Linked DNA regions of Cricetulus griseus. Each later gene encodes a partner of the first gene's protein in a complex. Links are inferred from orthologs where the notes say so. Each region holds a gene or a part of one and is shown on either strand. Other genes may lie near its edges.

Region 1 (7,567 bases):
CAAACTCCTGATTCTCCTGCCTCTCCTCTCTGCTAGGGTTCCATGTGTGTATCATCAGGCCTGGCCAAACAAGGGGTTTTGATTACAAGTATATGGAGAGAATGAAGAATGACACCCCAGCCTCCTCAGGGCCAATTTGGGAACACAGACACACAGACACACACACACAGACACACACACACAGACACACACACACACAGACACACACACACACACACACACACACACACACACACACACACACACAGTGGTGCCAGTTCTTTCTTATCTAGAATGACAATTAATAAACTGGGTGAAAATGCATCATTTGAGTCTACACCCTAAATCCTGCAGCCATCCTGGCTTTTGAGGGGAGGTTTTAAGGGAAGGCAAGGTTGATTCAAACAGTGTGGTACGGATCCAGTCTTTTTTGGTAAATGCTGCTGGCTTCTTACTGACAATGCATTCTCACCCATGCCCTATTAGAGAAGTTTATCTACTTACTCTAAGCTTATGAAGCACCTGAAATAGTTTAAAGTTAGTTTAAAATAGTTTAAAAATAGTTAAACCTGCTCCCAGGTTAGATTAATTACAATGAAAATGGACCCAGCTGCCTTTCCTTACAGTGGGCCAATTAATTATTTTCTTATTCACTTAAGAACATTTTTTAAACTCAGGTTCTTGCTATATAACCATGGCTGACCCAAAATTATGTAGGCCAGGCTACCCTTGAACTAAGTGCAGAGGGTGAACTTGAACTTATGGTTTTCCTGCCTCCACCTCCTGAGTGCTGGGATTACAGAAATGAGCCATCGTGCAGTTTATGGAGGTGTTGGTAATCAAACCCAGGGTTTTGTGCATGCCAGGCAAGCACATTACCCACTGAACCATGTCCCTAGACCCAGGGAATAGACTTTCAATAGACTATAGTGGAAGAGCTGTACTGCTGTGTCTAATTCATTGCAGGGGGAAAATATGTGATAATTCCTGTGAATCCATATCCAAACAGTAGAAAAAAAATATAAAAATCACCCAACTTTTGCCCCAGCTGCTTAGTTCCATTTCTTTTTTGTTTTGTTTTTTAAAGATTTATTTTTATTTACTATGTATAGTGTTCTGCCTGCATGTATCCCTGCAGCCCAGAAGAGAGCACCAGATCTCATTACAGATGGCTGTGAGCCACCCCTATGGTTGCTGGGAATTGAACTCAGGACCTCTGGAAGAACAGCCAGTGCTCTTAACCCCTGAGCCATCTCTCCAGCCCTGTTTTGTTTTTTTGAGACAGAGTTTCTCTGTGTAGCTTTGGAGCCTGTCCTGCAACTCACTTTGTAGACCAGGCTAGCCTCGAACTCACAGAGATCTGCCTGCCTCTGCCTGGGATTAAAGGCGTGTGCCACCACTGCCCAGCAAGTTCCATTTATTTTAGGCAAACAATTTCTTGTACATCTTTTGTTAAATAATTTGAATCTTAAATAGCCTAGTTGTGGCAAGGACTGAACCCAGGGGCCTGGGCATGGTAAGCTTTGCCCCAGCACCAAAATCTCCATTTTCTCCTCCAAGCATCTCTTGGTAATTCTAGTATCAGAGAAATTCTAGTATCCAGAAAAGACATATACCTATTTTGTGCCAAGCTCTGTGATGGGTTCTTAAGCTAGCTATATGACCCAGCACTGCCCAGTACTGCTTAAGATGCCCTCCATGTGGAAGAAAGGCTCTCCAGTGGCCCTTACCTAGGAGGCCCAAAGCAGGAGCTGTGAAGGGCAGGCAGTGCTGCAGAGAGAAAGCCTGAGAAATGTGGGCCTTTCATCTTCTGTCATCAGCAGTGGCACCTGGCAGACACTGGATACCATAGCCCGCAGACAAAGACCTGGTAACCCAAGCCATTGCTTGACCTCTCTGCCCAGTCTTGTCCTAGAGAAACTGTAGTCTCTGGTTTCTTTAGGAGGCCCTGTGTGGAAGTGCCTTTTGTCTTTGTGGTGTCTGGAATACTATCACGTGCTTGCTGGCTAGGTGAGCCAGGCGCCTTGGTGGGGACAGTGATGCTCCCTAGACACAGCAGGGCAGGGCAGAGCCACCAATTGCACAGTTCCTGACTTGGGTGAGGCCAGATGGGTGCTTTTAGGCCTCTCCCTCTTTACTGCAAAGCTGTTTCATCCTAGCGACCTTATCACAGCCTTCTGTGAGCTGCTCACACAGCACAGTCTGTTCAGGCTGGGCTTGACTGCCCTGGTTCACTACTAGATCCCAGCACTGGCCTCACCTACAGGGTTGAGTGCATGGTTACACAAAGAATGTATTCTCACATTATACATATTACGATGTTTTCATTTTCTAGGCTTGGAGCTTCGTTAACACAATGGCTATTTGGGGTCTGGAAGGCTCTTCAAAGGTCGAGGGTAGGAAATAAATGTTTAAAAATATCCAACAAGGTAGTGCATGACTGTAATCCCAGTGCTGTCACTCGGGGGTAGGCAGCCTGGTCTACATAGCAAGACCGGTCTCAAAACAAAACACTTCAGGCCTGCAATCCCAGAGCAGGGGGTTTTAGAGCAATTTGGTTTACATAGTAAATTTGTGGCCACCCTGTACTACACGAGACACTGTCTCATCAAGACAAGACAAAACAACAACAAAAAACTCTTACAATCAAACAGGCAGGGTGTGCTAAGTCAGGAGTATCCCAAGTTCTTAGGCCTGAAGTGACACCTGGTCTCAACATGCCGTGAGATTTTTTTTTTTTTTTTTTAAATTAGCATCAGTGGAGTAAGGTTCAAATCCCGAATTCCTGGTGGGCAAACACAACCTCACCTCTTTGGGTTATTAGGAGAGTAACGAGGTGAATCTGTTAAGTGAAACACACATAAGCCGCTTTTGCGGTTTGTTGTTTCCAGGCTTTTCAGGGCTGGCGTCTTTCATGCAGTTCAAGACAGCCCCTGCCTGAAAGACCCTTAGGGTCGCGTTGGTACCTCAGCCGCTGCCGGCGTCCGCACTGAAGGAGAGCATGGCGCTCTCGAGGGCAGAGGAGAAAGGCGGAAGCCCCTCCTCTGCCTAGCCGCCCATCCACCCGATGTCCCTCAGCATCTCTCCCGCAGGCCTCTGCAGCGCTCAGGGTCTGGCGCGCCGCCCTCCGCCTACCGTCAGGCGATCTCAACGGCCAGCCCGGCCGGCTGTGTGACGTCACGAGCTCGGGGGCCTCGGCGCCCGCTTCCCGCTCCTATAAAAGCCGGCCGCCGCGAGGCGTTGCTGTAGTGGCCTTGTCCTCGGTATTTCTCGTCGTGTCTGAGTGCTGCTCGTCAGCCTCGACCGAGCACCGTGAGTAGCCGCCCGCGAGCTGGGCCAGGACGTGGTCCCTGGAGGGCGGGCGGTGGTGGAGCCCCGGGGTGGCTATGGCCTGCACGAGGCGGCGGCGGCGGCGACTCGGCCTGGCGTAGCCTGAGGCACTGTGGGGCCCGTTGCCGACTCTGGACCGCGGAAGGCGCGAGGCGGCCGAGTCAGGCCTCCGCGGGCCGCGTGTCCTCACGGCGCTCGCCCGAGGAGTGTGAGCGGAGCCCTGTGACGAGCCTGCTCTGAGGGCGGCGTCAGTCAGGCTCGAACGCGGCTGCAAGGCCCAGGCTTCGGCCCGGGCCTGCCTGGGCGATAGGTTTGCTGCCCCGCGCTCCAGGACAGGTGGCGGCGGCGCTCTGCGTTTTGGGGGGAGGGGGGGTTGGCCGCCCAGGTGGTGGCGGTCGTTGTTAGTCTGCTCGATTTTTGGCTCCCTCGCCTGTATCTGGCGCCACTAGCTCCCTTTTGGTCTCGCTTCTTCTACCACCGAAACTGCAGGTACAGACTCGATATTTCTTTGCGTTGTTTTGTCGTGTCCTGCAGTCTCTGAACTTAGCTACTGTAATAGCAGACCCCGTCCTCTGAGGTGTGTCTTTTAGGAGCTTCCGACTCCTAAACTTGAGATGCCTGGGTTCTTTAAAGGGATAGTGTGACATCTGCCCTTTGGTTCACTTTTTTTTTAATGGAGTCCGCAGGTTTGGGGACTTGCAGTTTTTCTTCCGAATGTCACAGTAGAATGTGTCTGTGGCATAGAACAATGCAGCCCCTTCCATCCTGCAGTCTAATAGCAAGTGTCAGAATTTCGAGTCACTTAAAAACAGATTGTTTTTTAAGTCTGGTGTACTAGAATTCTTTAGGTTGTTTAATTTCCAAGTCCAGGAGTTAGAAAACTGAAGGTTTTTTTTATTATTATTATTTTTTTGAAAGCATGTCAGGTCGAAATCTCATGCATTATTACTTGAAAATTTTGCACTTAATTCCAACACAACACCGAAAGTTAAGTCTAGGATTACAGAGTGCATTGAATTACAGATTAACCGATTGTCTCCCTGTCATTTAATAAGATCCTGGCTCCCGCACAAGCAACCTAATACCTGAATTCTACTATGACTAAGCACATCTTTACTTATTGTGGATTATTTCAAGGAAATATGGAATGATGTTGCTTTTAAAGTAATTCTATCAACTACGTAGTTAGACTTGTTCTGGAGTGTTCGTTACAGTACTGGGGACTATAGAAAGAAGGTAATGTTTTGCTATGAAAAACTAGCCTCCCTTCACTGTTAACTGTGTTGTTGCCTTATTATAGGGAGGGTCTGCTGCTCTGGGCTTCTCTGTTCTGCATTATTGGCAAGCACTGAGAAACATGGAGAAGCAGACATGTTTGTGAGTGGAAAAGTGAAATCTGATTCTCTCAAACCATGGGTGAGGGAGAGCTGGGTATTTTAGTGGATGATTGTAAAATGATTTAGCTCACCCCTGCCCCAGCTTGTTTGCTTGAGGCATGGGGACAAGTGTCGGAGGAAAGCTGAATTTAAGAGAATTTTAAGAGATGTCGAGTCTTAAGTGTGTGAGGGTAAAATGGGCGAAGTAATTATTTTAAATGCCAAACACCAGGCTTTTGTGAAAATTCACATTGTCGCCCCCCTCCCCCCAGGGTTTCTCTGTGTAGCTTTGGAGCCTATCCTGGCACTCGCTCTGGAGACCAGGCTGGCCTTGAACTCACAGAGATCCGCCTGCCTCTGCCTCCCGAGTGCTGGCTTCACATTGTTTCTTAATACAACCTAGATCAGAAAGCTTCAGAGGTACCTTAAGTTAGTAGATAGTAACATTGGAGGATTGTCTACCTCAAAATCACAGACTTTAACAGTTGCTTGTGAGTCAAGCTTGGTACACACCTTTAGTCTCTGCACTGGAGGCAGAGGCAGGTAGATCTCTGAGTTTAAGACTAGCTCTGTCTACAGAGCAAGTTCCAGGACTGCCAGGGCTACACAGAAGAACCCCTTCTCAAAAAACAAACAACCCCTAAAAAAAAGTTGCATATGAATTTTAAAGAGGTCTTGAATTAATCCTCTTTGGAGCAATGTGGGAGAAATCTGAAGGTGATAAGAAATTTCAGGCTTGCTTTGAGCTTTTAGTTTTAGATTTTTTTTTTTACTTTCCCTCAAATTCAAGTCATGTTAGGAGTTTTCGGTTTCCTACCTTTTTTATATATGAATTATATTTTTCCTAATGGCTCATATTTTATCTGAGTCCATGAGATTTTTGGAGATTTGGGCTGTTGAGTTCCGTTTTTGAGACAGGGTCTCATGAAACCCAGGCTAGCCTCATACTTCCTTCCTATGTGTCAAGATGGCTTTGGACTCCTGATCCTTCTGGTTGCCTAAATGCTGGGATTATGGCATGTACTTATTTACTGGCTCACCTTTTGGACAGGAGGAGAGGACAGTGTTAGGTAATTATACTACTGAGCTATATCCACAGCCTCTTTGGTATTTTGTTTTGAAGCAGGCCCTTACTGAGTTCTCCCAGGCTGGCTTGAACTCATTATATAACCTGGGCAGTCCTTGAATTTATTATCCTCCTGGCCTTAGTCTTCCAAATATTGGGCATTACAGGACTGGTTTCTCTGTGTAGTGCTGGAACTCATTCTGTAGGCCAGGCTGGCCTCAAACTCACAGAGATCTATGCCTGTCTCTGCCTCCCCAGTGCTGGTTTAAAGGCAAGCACTGCTGCTGCCCAGCCATTTATTTTTAATAAATTTAAATACATATGTATATTTTGTTTTTTGAGACAGGTTCACAGGTAGCTCAGGCTGGACTTGAACTTGGCTGTGTACCCTGGGTCTGAATTCCTGCCTCTCCAGTACTTTTATAGGCATGTGCCACCATGACTTAAATGCATTTTGTTCTTGTTTTGCTGTTTTTGAGACAAGGTCTTTCTATGTAGCTCTGACTGACCTGGAACTCACTATTTAGACCAGGCTGGCTTCAGACCCAAAGATCTGCCTGCCTCTGCCTCCTGAGTTAGGAATTACAGGTGTGTGCCACCACACCTGGCTTAAAGTGAAATCATTTTATGTATTTATTTATTTATTTATTTATTTTCTTCAAGACAGGATTTCTCTGTGGCTTTGGAGGCTGTCCTGGAACTAGCTCTTGTAGACCAGGCTGCTCTCGAACTCACAGAGATCCACCTGCCTCTACCTCCCGAGTGCTGGGACTAAAGGCATGTGCCAAGCTTCAAAATGAATTTGGTTTTTGAGACAGGGTTTTTCTGTGTAGCTTTGGAGCCCATCTTGGCACTCGCTTTGTAGACCAGGCTGACCTCGAACTCCCAGAGGTCTGCCTGCCTCTGCCTCACAAGTGCTGGGATTAAAGGCCTATGCCACCAACACCCAGCCAAAATGAATTTTTGAAGCAGATTTTTTTACTGTAGGGACTTAGCCAGAGGATCTCAAACTTGGACACCTGAACAGTGGGTATTGAAAAATTAAAATGGTCTCTTCTAAGTTTAAGCTCCTTGTGGGATTTAGGGATCACATTGACACTTGCTTATAATGTCTTTTATTTTCTTGTGTGTAGGCTTGCATTTGTTTATAAGTGTGTGTATCCTAGTCTACTCTTTGGAGTCATTTGTTTTTCACTGGTAGATTTCACTGTAAGAAATTTACTTTCATTTGATAGCTTTGTTTACTTTGGACTGACTTCACTCAGCTTTGTAGGTAGTTAATTGTGGCAGTTAATTTTTCATATTGTGTAATTTCTCAGTGGGAGCATAGAAAGCATGTATCTTAAAATTTTTGAGAAGTTAACAAATGGCTGCCAGGCCTGATAACTAAGCTTAATCCCTGGAACCCACATAGTGGAAAGAGAGAACTGCCTCCTGCAATTTGTTCTCTGACCTCTGCATGTTGCTGAGCTATATGCACACCCACACTTTATATTCTAAAGTAAATGTCACATACAGATAACTCTTAATACCAGTTGTAAATTCAGCACTGCCTTTAAGTGGACCTTTAAAGCCAATGTTTAAAGGAGCTGTACTTGGGAATTTCTCTCTCTCTCTCTCTCTCTCTCTCTCTCGACAGGGTTTCTCTGTGTAGCTTTGGAGCCTATCCTGGCACTCGATCTGGAGACCAGGCTGGGCATGAACTCACAGAGATCCGCCTGCCTCTGCCTCCCGAGTGCTGGGATTAAAGTTGTGGAATTTTTTTAAAATAAAAACAATTATAGGCTGATTTGTGAAGAACTTGGAACTGTACAGA
Region 2 (7,294 bases), on another chromosome or scaffold:
TGCTTAAAATGAACTGATATATAGTGGCATTTTAGAGATTTTGCCAGATAAGCTAGGTTAGGTAATCTTTGACAGTAGAAACTACTGGTGTGGGATAATAAAACATTGATTAGTTTCTCATATAAGCTCACTTTCAAGGGAAGTTATGAAACACAGATATCCATTTGTCACACTTTAACACAGCAGGCAGATCTTTGATAAACTGATGAGCCAGGGAAAGAACCGTTAGCCAAAATAAGTGTTTGGTTCTAATTTACTGTTTTTGAAATCTGATTTAACTGATGTATTTCTCCTATTGATTATCAGGCAATAAATTTATGGAACTGGCTGGGCCTTGGTGGCGCACGCCTTTAATCCCAGCACTTGAGGCAGAGGCAGGCGGATCTCTGTGAGTTCGAGGCCAGTCTGGTCTCCAGAGCGAGTGCCAGGACAGGCTACAAAGCTACACAGAGAAACCCTGTCTCGAAAAACCAAAAAAAAAAAAAAAAAAAAAAAAAAAATTATGGAACTGAAAGGATATAGAACAAGTTGGAGATGTATGAATTCCCTCCTTTCCAGCGGCCAGGGTCTAACAGCTGTTTTCTCCTGTTACCAGTCTGGGAGGGGAGGTGAATGGATCTTATTCAGTAAGCTTAGTGGAGCTACTATCCTCAGTAGGTGGCTTGGGGCTCTTCTGAGTGCCATTCTGTCCCTCAGTGATGAGGTTATAGAGTGGAACCATTGGCAATGAAACAGATCAGGCCTTTGAACACGGCATGACACACAGGTTTCTGGAAGCATTTTCAGTTGCAGAGCTCTGCAATTTGTACTCTTCCCATTCAAAGTTCACGAAATTAAACTCTGAGGTGCTCGGCTTCACAAACTTCTCTAACCCTACATTGCATTTCTTTAATTTCTGCTGTACGGAAGAGAGTTCAACAAAATAATTATGTTGTAGCCATGTCTGGCTATTGCTTATTGATCTGATTCCCTGTGAGTATAAGTTGAACTTGGCAGGTTTAATGGATCATGTTTGCAGACCATCAAACCCAGCATTAACTAGGGTGAGAGATATTTGACTCCTGGGATTTCAGGTGAAGTACAACAGGGCCCGGTGCAACTTGTGAGTCCGTTCTTACTTTTGTGGCATCCTCCTCCCCCCTTTATTCACATTTATTTTTTTTTGCACAAAAATGAAACCTTGATTTATCAATGTAGACACTTCATTTCACTGTTCGAAGTGGTGGAAGAAGTGGCAAAACCCTGGGCTCCCCAAATACGTGGATAGTGTATTTAGTCCCATCTCCCCAAGCAAGGTTGAAGACCTAAATCGCCTTTGATATCCATCATTGCTGCTTACAGAGCAGGGGTCGGGTGCAGGGGTCCAGCCACACAACTGTGGAATTTGTTTCCCTTTATCTTTGCTGCTGCTTTAATCTCATTCTCCCACCATTAAGAAGGGCAGGCTCAAGACAGATTTCTGAGGATTGTGGTCCTTTTTATCTTGAAAATTCTTTTACTTCGGCACCACAGTTTAAATTTCTGTAGTTTTCCCCAAAACTTAAACAGAATCTGTAGGACAAACAGCCCAATATGTTAATAACAGAGGAGGGGGATAGAGAGGGAAGAAAGGAGTGAAGAAGGGAGGGAGAGGGAGGGAAGAGTAAGATAAGGGTGGGGGGAGGGTGAGAGAGAGAAAGAGAGAGAAGAGAGAGGCAGGAGAGAGAAAGAGGAGCGCGCGGACGCGCGACCGCTTTTGAGTAAGTCCTAAGACGTCGGCCAAAATTTTTTGAAGATATTAAAGGAGCGCTGTAATGAACAAGATCAGTTCTTCAAAAAAGTCAAGAGACAAGCAAGAATGACTCTTAAAAGACAGGCTCGACTACATCCGCCCCTTGAAAACGTTTTTAAAAAACTCTATAATATCCCAGAGTTGGTTCTCTTTCAGCCCTCTGATCCCCAACCCCGGTAATTCACCTACTTTCCCACAAAAGCCTGAAGTTGCTGCTCCCAACGTCAAGCCTCATCCCTTTCCTTTCACAGCTCGAGGGTGGGGGTGGGGTGTATCACAACTCTCAGGTTTCTACGCCGCAAATTACAAAACGCTTGCACTTCCACCATCACTGCCGAGTTCTGGGACTGCGATGCGAGACGCATTCATTCATTCATTCATTGATTCATTGATCCACTCACTCACTCACTCACTCACTCACTCACTCAAGAAACCTTCGCACCGCACCACCACCACACATAATGCGGCTCAAGGTTTCACCCCCACGCCACGGGAAGGGTGGAGCGCTTGCTCCCTGGAGCAGGTGCAGCAACTGAGCTGTGGGTCAACTTCTCCACCCGTCTCGCTGTTCTAGAACCTGCTCCGGGCCAAATGCCTCACCTTCGGGTGGTGCGCGCCCTAGCCCGGCCCCGGGGCCTGGGCCGCCTCCTCGTTCCCAGAGGAGCAGTTCGCACCTGCCCCGGAGGGAACGGCCACGGAGCTCTCTCTCCGCGCCGCCCTCGGGTCAGGGGTAAGATCAGGCGGTAGCTTAGGCTCGCCTGGGCTCCTCCCCTTCCTCTCCAGTTCTGACGCGGCCGTAGAGGCGGTGGCGGCGGCGGTGGCGGCGGCGGTAGCAGCAGCAGTCCCGCGGCCCGAGGCGCACCCACCCGCTCGCAGATCTCGACTTCCTCTTCCCTTGATGCGTCATCAGAGCGCGCGGCAGTCTCCCAGGGCGGGGTGGCCGGAGAGGGGGAGTAAAGGCCCGCAAAGGAAGGCGCTGAGAGGGAAGAGAAGGGAGGGGGAGGAGAGCGGTTGCTAGGCGACTTGCGTCATCGCCGGGCGCCGCTCTCCTCCCGCCCCTCTCAGGAGTGAGGCGAGAGCCCCGCACAGAGCGAGGGAGACAGGGAGCTGAGCTCCGGGCGCTGCCGACGCCGCCGGTGAGAGCGTGAGAGCGAGTGAGTGAGCGAGCATCCGAGAGACCGGGCGCCCGTGCACTGACCGCCGCCGAGACCTTCGCCTCAGCCCGGGCCAGCGGGAGCCGCGGCCGCCGTCTGCTTCCCCCCCTTACCTTCCCGGCCGGCAGCGGCGGCTGCACACGCCGGAGCCGGAGCCCCAGCCGGAGCCGGAGCCCGCGGCCGGGGGGCAGGGAGGCGGCTGCTGCGGGTCGGGACTGGTAGCTGCTCAGCCGGGAGAGGACGCCCGCGAGGGGCTGGGCTTTCTGCCTCGCCCCGGGGCGTGGGGCGAAGGACCCCCCGAGGTGTAGGGAGGGGGTCCCGGCCGCCGCGACACATGCGGGAGCCGCGAGCGGGGGCGGCGCCGATCCGAGCCCGCCAGGCCACCAGCTTAGCCGCCGTCCGGTCCGGCCGCCCGGGGCCGTAGCATCCCTTCGCGGAGTGTATGAGCCGGGGCCCCCAGCCCAGGAGCCACCCCCGGGCCGGGGGGGCGGGGACCCCGATGTGAAGCGGCTGCGGCGGCGTGGTGAGCGGCCCGGGCGCCGCCGTCCTCTCCTTCCCCTCCCCTCCCCTCCCCTTCACCCCCTCTGGGGGGCTTCTTCTTGGGCTCGCCGCCGCCCCCCTCGGCTCCTCGGCGGGACTCCGGGAGTTCTCGGCGCCCCTCCCCGCCCCAGCCCCCAAGGGCAGCGGGGCCGGGGGGGACCCGGGGGGCCGGCCACAGCCTCCGCCCAGAGGAAACTTTACCCAAACAAAATCATCGAGCTTTACGATCGTGTCTGTCCCGGGACAAGTGGCCCAGGACGGGCAGAAGCCACAGTGTGCAGAGACCCAGGAAGAGGAAAAACGGTGAGCGGGTCGCCGCCGCCGCCTCTACCCCGGCAGCGCGGAAGAGACCCGGGTGGTTGCCTGGTGGAGCGACGCTAGCACCGCTTCTTCTGTTCCGCGCCGAGCCTTTCGCAGCTGCCGCCTCAGCCCGAAGGAGGAAGGGAGCCAGCCCATATTGTCAGCGCCACCGCTCGTCTCTGAAGCGTGAGTGGACTCGGGGGAGGGGGACGTTCTAGGGTAGCAATTGGGAGCCGGTGGGTGCTTGGTGCTGGAGTTTGGCTGTTGTTTCTCGGGAGGGTTGGGCATGGAGACCTTTCCTTCCTGCTGAGGGAAGAAGGCATCAGTTTGCAAGAGTAATGCAAGTAACAGGGGGCTTGACTTAGAGGAGCGGTGTCTCCAGAGTGGACGTTTGCACCTTTCTGCACACTGATCAGCAAAGGGAAATCGAGAAAGCCCAATGGACAGGTCTGTCCTGTACATTTTCCTGGCCACTGGTTGTGATCCAGCACAGAGTGGTTTTGTTTCAGGGAAACTCCCATGGATTCCCACGTGGGAATCACTTGAATCAACTCTTTAAAATTTTTTTCTCTTTCTTTCTTAGCTATTGTTTTTGAAGTTGTCCTTGAGAGAAGGACCAATTTTGGTTTAGTACACACAGGAGCTTGGTACCCCGGATACGGTATTTCCCAAGTCCAGAGATTCTGATGCATAAGGAGGATGTTTTTGTGTTTCAGTAGCTCAGGAGAGTTCAAGTTCCTAGGATGCACAACTCTTTGAGACTGAATTCAGGGAGAGCACTTAATGCATTACCGTTTCATAAACGTTGCAGCACTTTCTTTTTCCCTAATTCTCTTATCATTTTTGAGGGGAGAGTAATACATTTTATGTGATAGTATATTTTTCCTAGGATTGAAAGGGCATGCATGTGGCTTTTCTTACTTGACTTGTCAACTTAGAAACTTCTCACACTTTAAAGAAAGTATTTCAGGTATCTTAAGAGTGCTTTAAATTAGAGGTACAGGAAAGTAATGTTTCACATATATAAGGTTAAACATACTGTGGGATTTTATGTAACAAGGAACATAGGTAGTGTAAGACTGAGAATTCTGGTCCATTCAGACAATGGAAAGTGGGCAGAACAGAGATGCTCTGTAGAAATGAATGGAAACCTGGGCTTGTCTATCCATCTTAATTTCTCCATTTAGGATCATGATTAAATTTGTCTGATTGAAAGTTTCTCACATTTCACAATGTTTGGGCCCTGTTCTCCCCCTCTTTTTAAAGTAATTAGCCCAAAAGTTTATTAGTTTTTGCATTATGTAACAACTCTCTTATCTTCTAACTGCTTCCTCAAACTTCCAAGATACAGGTTGAGGAATGCTAAAGCAACCATGCGTTTATCTCCTCTTGCTTTTATAGATTTTGGTTATTCTCTTCTGTCATCTGTCCCAACTTTTTAATCTTGAGTACTTTTAGTTTTTTTCCATTTTGGATTTTCTAGCTCTTTTATTTTTCCTTAGATGCTTTGTTCTTTATATGTTTTCATAAAACACTGTAAGTTCTACTTAGTGTAAATGGGAATTAGCATGAAAATATTGGTGAATGAAACTTTAAGTTTAGAATAAAACATGTTTTTGGATCTGTTAACCTTATTTTGCAACCCTGAGTAAGTCATGTATTCCATTTTCCGAAAAAGGTGACTGAGAGACCTAGTTTTGCATAGTTTGCTTTTTGGGAAGAAGGGGGCTGTAAACCAAGAAATTATACCTTGAGTGTGTATTGCTTCGGTTCAAAGTTGCTTACAAACTTGAGGACCTGCTTTGCAAATTGGTTTTAAATCATGGAAGTACTTTATTGGCTGTAGAAATAACAACATTTAATACTTTCAGTCTTTGGGGTACCTTTTCTTATGAATGACAGAGGCAATTTCTTACTAATTCAGAGAACCAAAGGTGGAAGGAGAACACTGATTCCACAGAGTTGTCCTCTGACCTACATGCACATGAATGTAATAGTGGTAGTAGTAAAAATAAATAGGTTTTTTTAAAAAAAATGTAGGAAAGGAGGAAATGTATTATCTTTATTAGTCTAAGATCATGATATATACCAAGGACTGTCATTGCACCTTCCATTAGGGAAGTGTTGATTTTGGACTACCCAGGAATAATTGGAGTCTCTGAGCCAAATCTTGGAAGGGCTCCTTCAGGAAGAAAAGAGCATGTACAAACAAAATATTAAAGACTCAGAGTCAGAACATGTAAAGGAGAAGGAAGTTAGCTTGGTGGGAATACCTACCTACTGATGGAGGTTCTCGACTAGGGGTAAGATCAGTTTGCACTTGTGTATACACTCATGGTTACAGTTTATAAAAGAATTTGAAAACTGCTCCAGAGAGGGTAGTTTCAAGTGACTGGGAGAAATTATACTTTAGGACGAAGGCACTATTGCTGGCTTTAGGATTTTGTTTCTCTAGGAAACCAATCTTTTTACATTATGTGGGGGCTGCACAGAAGGAGGTGTGAAAAGGAAATGCTTTGAATGTTTTTTAGCTGGATGCTAGTAGTTTCTCATAATCAGGAATTCAGAAACAGTAGCAGACTTTGCTTTGGATGTTGATTTTTAGGTTAAGAGCTGGATGTCCATATATTTCATGTGTTGGCTCATTCTGTTTTTCTTTTCCTCCGCCTCTTAACTCTTTCTCTTTGATTTTTGAATCTGTCTCTTGTCCCAGGCTGACCTTGAACTTGCTGTGTAGCTGAGGATAACCTTTAACGTCCAATCATCCTGATCCTGCCTTGACTTCCTGAATGCTAAACTTACTGTTGTGTGTGCCACTATTTCTGGTTATGTAGGGCTGGGGATGAAACCTAGGGCTTTATGCATGCTATCAGGTGCTTTGTCAGCTGCGCTACTCCTTAGGGCCTGCCCCATATAGCTTTCAAGACTGCAAAGTAGTTTGGGTAATATGCTGACAGTGTGGGTAGTGATGGGAGTCATTCTTAAAGGCTTTAGGTTTCTGAGATTACTGATACTGAGTAAAGAGCTGAAAAAGGATTTTACAATTTTGGGAATGGACAGAGTTGTGTTAGCTTAAGCACAGGCATAATAAGAGAGACATTCCCCAAAGAGATACTTCATAAGTGAGTGAAAAGTGGCAGTTGAAACAAGGAACAGTCTTTAAACATAGCTGCCGACTCAGTCCAGAGCATATAATTCTGTTTTTAGCAACAGTTAGAGGTTTTCAGTAGAGCATTTAGATACTGAGACATATGTTCAGAACACACAGGACTTTGTTAGGGAACTTATAAATGAAATGGAAGATTAGTTTCTCCAAAACTCAGGTTTTTGATACTTCCTTAAGCTTGGTTTCCTCCCCCCTCCCCGAGACAGGTTTCTCTGTGTAGCCCTGGTTGTCCTGGATCTTGCTCTGTAGACCAGGCTGGCCTTGAACTCAGAGATTGGAGTACCTCTGCCTCCCCAGGGACTAAAGGTGTGTACCACCAAAGGCCAGCTAAGCTTGACCTTTTTTTTTTTTTTAAAAAAGATT
Region 3 (7,382 bases), on another chromosome or scaffold:
TGTTTTTGGAAAAATGACTCTGTCTGAATCTAATCTTTCTGTAAAGAAAAGGTTCATATGGCTGAGATGACTGTATATTCGCTTATCCATTTGCCATAAATACAAATTATGTGCCAGGCTGCTAAGATGAACAAGCCCACTGTGGTCAAATGAAGGAGAGAAGTCAACTGACAGCAGGGAAAACCATTGCACACATGGTGGGATGGAAGCCTGTACCTGACAGAGCAGGGCAGGAAAACAGGAGCAACCAACTGCTGACAAATGCTGTTCTTGTACACCAACATACATGCAGCCAAAGCACGCATACCCACAGAATAAAAATAAATAAATCTTAAATAAACGCCACTGTTTTGACAAAAAAAATCCCTCTTGTGGCACGTGACACCTGTAGCATCGATGAAGAGGACAGACAGCATGCTGTGGTAGATAGTCACCACCATTCTTCTTTGGAAGTCCCAACTCTTTTACAGAAATGCCAAAACAAACAGTAATGTTTGATGTCACAAATCCAGGAACTCAGGATTTAATGGCTTATTGAAATTCATATCCAGCCTGCTGGTTTCATACAATGGGGTACTTTTCAAAGGATTAGACATGTGACTGGTTTACCAGTCATCAAAAGCAAGCAACATCACCAAGTTTATTGTAGTATGAGTTCATCCTGTTTTTCGCAGGGCTTGACCTAAGCGTGGCCTTTCCGCTATATCTGTGGGCCTGGTGTACCGCTCTCGGTCTTTAAATTGTTTTTAGGTCTAGGTGTTTGGTTTGGGTTTTAAACAAAGGAGTAGTTGAGGGCTGGGGTGTGGGTGAAGGGGAGAGCACTTACCCAGCATGTGCAAGATCCTGAATTTGCTCCAACCAATAAAACAAAAAACAAATAAAAACCCCTGACAGTTACGCTAATGTGGGCCTCACCCCATCATGCCAAATTCATCATACAGTAGTAATAGATGAAATTATTTTAACACTTTTTTTTTTTTTTTTTTTTTGTAGACCTAGGATTTGGCGGAAGTCAGTAGAACCACATGGGTCTGGTGTAGAAACTTCTCAACATTCTTGATGAGTTAGGTTTCTGCACTTAATGCAGAGGTCTGAGTCCAGATGCTTTTTGTTTTGTTTTCTTTTGTTTTGTTTTTCGAGACAGGGTTTCTCTGTGGCTTTGGGGGCTGTCCTGGAACTTGCTCTGGAGACCATGCTGGCCTCGAGCTCACAGAGATCTACCCGCCTCTGCCTCCTGAGTGCTGGGATTTAAGGTGTGTGTCACCAACGCCCGGCTAAAGATTTATTTTATTTTATGTACACTGGTGTTTTGTCTGCATGTATGTCTGTATGAAGGTGCCAAATTCCTTGGAACTGGAGTTACAGACAGTTGGGTGCTGGGAATTGAATCTAGGTCCTCTGGAAGAGCAGCCAGTACCATAACTGCTAAGCTATCTCTCCAGCCCAGATGCTTATTTTTCTTTATCTTAAAATTATTTTATGCGTATGTGTGCTTCTCTGTGTGTATGTTTGTGCATCAAGTGTGCCTGTTACCCCCAGGAGACCAGAAGAGGGTCGAGTTACAGAGGGTAGTAAGCTGTCATGAGTGCTGAGAATAAAACCTGGGTCTTCTCCAAGAGCAGCCAGTGCTCTCAACAGCTGGACCATCTCTCCTACCCCCCCTCCACACACACACACACAGCTGCTCTTGAAAATCAGTGACCGTGATGCTAATAGGCATCACAAACTTAAGAAGTTCACAACTGAGTTATTGATCCTCCACCTTTATGTTCCCCTTATGACAGTCCCGTTTTTGCAAATAGCACTTCCTGGATCTATGGTAAGCTAGAAGATTGAATTTTCCCTAGTTTTTCCACAACAGCCCAAATTAGACTCTACTGCAAAACCGTCTCAAATCTGTGAGTCCCCATATCCACACCAGTACTTCAGCCCAATCTCTTGGCTTTCCACTAGAGTAGCAGGGTCCAAACACCCACATTCTCCACCCCTTCAATGGCCTCCACTCTAATACCCTTTGATCTCAGACAGAGCTGGGGGTGGGTGCCTGCACATGGCTGGAGAGGCAGCTTAGTGGTTAGGAGGTAGGTGTATTGCTCTTGCCCAGGATTCCCTTGGCGGCTCACAACTGTCTATATTCCCAGTTCCAGGGGATCCAGCTCCTTCTTCTGGCTTCCAATAGCCCCTGTAAGCACAGAGTGCACACCCATACACAGATTTTTTTAAAAAATATTTTTTTGTTGTTAAAAAAACCGCAACTCTTTGTGTTTCTCTAAGGAGCAATCTTGCCTCCCTTGGCTCACGAGCTTTCTCACACAGACTTTTCCTGCCCCTTTTCCATATGACTACTCTCATCAAGTCCCTCAACCCCTGGTTTTAAACCAAGGCCCCTTCCACGTAGTTCACATAACTTTAAATTCATATGAACTTAAATAGCAGCTTGTGTTTACCATCTCCACCATAGAATGGATTTCAGAGCAGGCGCCATCACAGTTTTGTTCTCTTGGGCCCATAACTAGTAGTGACACCAACAACTACTACACATCATTTACATGCGTCATGCATTGTTATACCAAGAGCTTTCCACACAACCAACCCATGGCCCCAGTGTCCTTCCTGACTTCTAGCCAGGGTCAGTCTGCTCGGCCGCTTAACCCAGCTCCTATGTGCTCATCCGCACCGAGCCCCATGGGCTGTTAGGCTAATCGTGCAGGAAAGGATCCGCGTTGACCGCTTGGAATCCTCCTGCAGTTCTCGCCCACGGATGCTATTCCTGCCCCTTCAGAGGCCACGCTCGCCCTTCTCAGAGCCCCGCTAGCTCCGCCTTGCCTCCAGGCTCGGGTCGCGCGCTCGCAGCGGAGCTCCACCCACGCATCACGTGACAGCTGTCGGGGGCGGGGCTCGCGGCGAAGTCGGTCCTCCTGGCGGCGCGCCGCAGTCCTTGGGCAGCCCTGCGGCTTCCAGGGCGTCGCGGCCGCGGCCCCGCAGCGCCGCTCCCTGAGGTAAGAGCGCGGGTTCCTCGACGCGCCCCGGAGGCCTCCCGGGAGCCCGCTGATGCTCCAGGCCACCGGCCTCTCCGTCCTGCCGTGGGCCAAGCCTGTGGCTGGGGTGCGGGGACCCGGCCTGAGGCAGTGCGGGGGGGAGAGGGGGGGCTTGGCCGCCGGAGCTCCAGGAGAGCCGTGCCTTGGTCCCCCCTCCTTCCCCGGGACCACCCGCGGTCGCCTTCAGCCCCAGGGTTTTGCTGGTGTGCGACAGAATTCATTCTCCTTTGCGGTTTGCAGCCTTCACCTGGGATGCCAGAGCCAGTGTGCAGTCGGACACCCAGTGGGTTTGGTTTTAGCAAATCGCGGAGACTTGGTTTCTAAAATCTTTGAAAGAGGGATAACCGCTGCCCGGCCTCCCTCCTGCATCGAAGAACTGATGGCAAAGCCATTTGATGAGCCAGAACTCTGGAGTTGGTTTTAGTTCCACCACCCACTAGCCAGGCAACCTTGAGCCACGTCGATGGTGCTTCGTTAAAAGTAGAGACAGTACGTCAGCCAGAGGTTGCTATGAGGATTAAGCTGAAGAGATGAGCACGGTGCGGGCACAGAGGGCTCTTTAGTTCTCTCGGCATGAGCATTATTAAAATAGCAAGCTAGAGAGGACTCTCCAAGAGAGACGTCTTTCTTGCAGTAAGCACACCATCCACTGTGTTTGTGATCCTGAAAACAGTACGGGTTTTGGCTGTAGAACCCTCTCCCCTTTCCCAGGCCCCCTTTGCCTTCTGTTTCACATTGGCATGTGAACCTGTTGTTCCTACCGAATGAGTCAGGCAGGATGGGAACGCTAATTTACTTGAGCAGATGGGTATCAGATTCCCTCTGAGGGGAAAGAAAACTGCCAGGCATGTGCTCCCATCAAAAAAAGCACAGTAGAGTGATTGACAGTCTACTGGAAGATGCCTAGGAACCCATGTAATCCAGCTGTTTCCTGCACATAAAGAAACGAGCCAGAAGGAGGCCAGGACTTTGGTTTTGCTCACACTTCAACACTGTTGGCTCTGGGTAGTAGAAAGAATGCTTGTGCTTTCCCATGCTCGTTTATTCCTGCTGCGTATTTGTACGTCGACAAGGAGCTGGATGAGATAAAGCTATGAACCAGACAATGGTGTCTGACCCCATGAAGCTGTCTCCATAGCTGACTATGTTAGTTTGAGATTATATAAAAGTCTGTTTTGTGTGTGTGTGTGTGTGTGTGTGTCTGCTGGGTCTCAGTATGCTTTATGATAACAATAAGTTCCAGCTCCCAGGGAGCTTGCCTCACAGCAGCTGGCCCCAGGGTACCCACATGCAAGAGAGGCTTGAATTGTTTCATGAACCTTGTCACGTCTCCAGGCCTGGTGGAAGCTTGATGAGATTTAGAAACTGGAGAAAATGGTACGTTGTTGAAGCTTTTAGGGAAGGATTTCCACAGGCCTAGAATGCCTGCATTTCTTTGTTCCTCTGGTTTCTGGCCTCTTATTGTTTTTAGCTATCTAAAGAGAGCAGCCTTCAGCATAGTTCCTTCATTTGGTTTCCATGGTTATCAGGGGAATTACATTTTCATGATAGCACCAGTAGCTATTGAGCTGTGTGGCCAACCACCAGTCGCTCACCACCAAGTCCTGCTTTCTGGTTTTGTTTTTCAGTTGTAGTGCAGACATCATCTCCGTTTTCTTTTTTTCCTTCCTTTCATCCTTCCCTTCAATGGTGACAGTGTGAAGAGGGATGGCAATAAGAATAGATAAAATAGAGACAGACCTTGGCCTGGGAGATGGTAGAATCCCTTTTTGGCCCAACCCATTGATGATGATGATGCAATGCTGTGTGTGGCACAGAACTGAGGGCATTGGCAGGAGTCAGGGGCAGGGCAGTGGCCCTCTGGAAAGGTGTAAATGGTGAACCAACTTGAGCTGTCATAGGCAGAGTAACAGTGCCCTGAGCAACAAAGAACACCTCACCCGCTTTTCAAAGGAGATAAGAAAGAAACATGTTCCTTTAATGGGCCCCAGTCACAGAGGAACACTAGATAGCATTTTGTTGCTTGAGTTTGCCTTCATGGATGAGCCTTTTCCTCTTGAGTCACTTACCATGTGCTTTGTGTGAACAAGCTGCTGCTTTCCCTGTTAGCGGGATTTGTTTCCCTACTCACCTGACAATGGGATTGTCAACATAAAGGGGCTAGAGAAACACTTGTTTGGGATCCATCTATTTCAGTTTAGATGTTTAACCTGTTTGTCTTATTTCTCAAGTTGGACACTAATGCAGTCACACATTATTTTTCCAAGTACCCTCCCAAGTCTTCCAAAACCCTCATTAGTAAGGATTCTAACCTCTAGAGAGGCTTCTGTAGCCCAAAGAGGACCTCTCAGAGGAGTGAGAGTGGTAAGTGGTATACCCAGATTGTTATCTGACAGCTATGAGTTGTCACTATGGAGGAGTTGCCCTGCACAGTTCAAGGATGTGTGGTAACTGCTGCTCAGTGCCCTTTAGGGCACTATCTATGTCAGTAAGATCCCCTGTTTGGATCTGAGTTTGCAGCTTTTTTTAGTTCATGCTCACGTGCTTAGCTTTGTGTTCCCCAAAGCTCCACTTGTTGGCCTTTGCCTTGAGTCTGCTGCTTGGCTGGCTTCTTCTAGCTTTCGGGGTCACCACAGATCACTGAGATTCTCCTCTTTTCAAGCCTTTTATCTGAATGAAAGGGCTGTATCTTCCTTCCTTCCTTCCTTCCTTCCTTCCTTCCTTCCTTCCTTCCTTCCTTCCTTCCTTCCTTTCTTCCTTTCTCTGAGCTTAACCCAAGTCCTTTTGGTAAACCGGTTCCATCTTGTCACCAGGGTCTTACCTAAGCAAGTTCTTACCTAAGATTCTCAGGGATGGTACATTTCAAGAAGATGCCTCCCTAGGACTTTGGGTACCTCTTCAGCCTTGTTTCTCCAAGTATAAGAGGGATGGGTCCTTGGTGATTCTTGACTGCTTCCACCTGCAGTCCTAAGAGGTTAGGCAACTACAAACATCCCCTATTAAGCTGGGGGTGGTGCATGCTTGCAGTCCCAACACTCTGTAGGTGTAGGCAGGAGGATCAAGAGTTTAGGTCCACCTAGGCTATATGAGACCTTATTTAAAGAAAAAGGAAAGGAAAATAGGGTTTACTGAAAGTAGAAATGTATTTGGCATATATACTCTGTTAGGGATTTGGGAAGCAAGGTTTCAAATTAAAAACAGGAATGTGGTTGGTAGGGTGACACTGTAGCTTTTGAATGGCGGAGGCAGGAGGATTGCTTGGACCTAGAAGTTAGAGTCAGTGGCAAGATCTCAACTTAAAAACAAACAAAAGGCTGGTTACAGTTGTTTGGTTTTTTTATGACAGTTTTTGTGTTCTTTCGGTTTTTCTAAGAATTGGTATATTTATTTTGTTATCTTTGTTTTGAATGTTTTTTACTCTGAAAGATAAAATATACAGATGGGGTGCAAATGTACAGTTTAGCAAATAATTAGGAGGGAAATAACAGTGTAAACACTGCAACCTCAAGAAATAGAACATGGTGAGTGCCTTTTTCAGAATTTAACCTCCTCCCTGAGAAGCTGTCATCTTGACCTGTAAATGACCATCATCTCTTTGTTTCATCAATTGTGTGCACGTCCCTACACAGTACCATTGAGTTTAGCTGCTTTAACTTCATACGTGTGAGATCACCCTGTCTGCATCTTTTGTTTTGCTTCTTTTGCTCTGTGTATCACTTGGCATGCATCCAGGTGGTAGCCTCATGTCTGTCAGTAACAGTAATGTGCTGGTGTGAATAGGTCACAGTAAGTTCAATTAGCATTGGATGGACAGTGGGTTGCCAAGAACATTCTCAGACATATTCTCTCTCTTTTAAATTGCATTTACTCATTTGTTTGTTTAGTGGCAGGAGGCATACACAAGTTGGTTCTCCTTTCATTGTGTGGGTTCCCAGGATAGAACTCAGATCATTCGTCTTGCTTCCTGAGCCATCTCTCTGGCCTTCCTCAGGTATATTCTTTGTGCATCTGAACAAACTTCTTTAGGTTACATTCACCTAAATAGAATTGTTTTGTTAGTGGTGGTAACATGCCCCCCCCACATACACACTTTGATTGGTTTGCTTTTTGATACAAGATCTTACTGTACAGTTCAAGCTGTCCTGAAACTCAATTTGTAACCAAGACTGACCTGGAACACAGAGCAATTCCCCTGCCTTATACCCGTAGCCTGAATCTACAGGTATGAACTACTATGCCCAGCTTCTAAATTTCTGTGAGTTCTACTTCCAGTCCTTGGAGATTCTTGCATCAGTCAGCTTATTTAGCTATTCTTGTGTGTATAATATCTCTTGAGGCTTTCTT

Evidence for each region. Proteins that work in one complex are often made in the same cells at the same time.
Region 2: the proteins of Skp1 (region 1) and Fbxw7 are in contact, whole or in part, in a crystal structure (PDB 2OVP), measured with the Homo sapiens proteins. The link is inferred for Cricetulus griseus from reciprocal best matches to the Homo sapiens genes SKP1 and FBXW7. Residues at the interface, in NP_733779.1 of Homo sapiens: Gln97, Leu100, Phe101, Ile104, Leu105, Asn108, Leu116, Asp117, Cys120, Lys121, Val123, Ala124, Ile127, Lys128, Gly129, Lys130, Thr131, Pro132, Ile135, Arg136, Phe139, Asn140, Ile141, Lys142, Asn143, Asp144, Phe145, Thr146, Glu149, Gln152; in NP_001336727.1 of Homo sapiens: Pro274, Phe276, Gln277, Arg278, Asp279, Phe280, Ile281, Leu283, Leu284, Pro285, Leu288, Tyr291, Val292, Leu293, Phe295, Leu296, Pro298, Lys299, Asp300, Leu302, Gln303, Ala304, Ala305, Gln306, Thr307, Cys308, Arg309, Tyr310, Trp311, Arg312.
Region 3: Skp1 (region 1) and Fbxo10 share a complex: the UniProt entries of both Homo sapiens proteins name them as parts of the SCF(FBXO10) complex. The link is inferred for Cricetulus griseus from reciprocal best matches to the Homo sapiens genes SKP1 and FBXO10.

Annotation. Positions count from the first base shown.
Region 1 is NC_048600.1:66,397,596-66,405,162, forward strand, and holds the start of Skp1 (S-phase kinase-associated protein 1), read left to right. Parts: upstream 1-3,137; 5' UTR 3,138-3,291; intron 3,292-4,393; exon of another isoform or gene 4,394-4,545; intron 4,546-7,567. UniProt on the Homo sapiens protein: Essential component of the SCF (SKP1-CUL1-F-box protein) ubiquitin ligase complex, which mediates the ubiquitination of proteins involved in cell cycle progression, signal transduction and transcription.
Region 2 is NW_023276806.1:69,599,208-69,606,501, reverse strand, and holds the start of Fbxw7 (F-box/WD repeat-containing protein 7), read left to right. Parts: upstream 1-2,813; 5' UTR 2,814-3,951; intron 3,952-7,294. UniProt on the Homo sapiens protein: Substrate recognition component of a SCF (SKP1-CUL1-F-box protein) E3 ubiquitin-protein ligase complex which mediates the ubiquitination and subsequent proteasomal degradation of target proteins.
Region 3 is NC_048595.1:98,365,191-98,372,572, forward strand, and holds the start of Fbxo10 (F-box only protein 10), read left to right. Parts: upstream 1-2,901; 5' UTR 2,902-2,999; intron 3,000-7,382. UniProt on the Homo sapiens protein: Substrate-recognition component of the SCF (SKP1-CUL1-F-box protein)-type E3 ubiquitin ligase complex. Mediates the ubiquitination and degradation of BCL2, an antiapoptotic protein, thereby playing a role in apoptosis by controlling the stability of BCL2.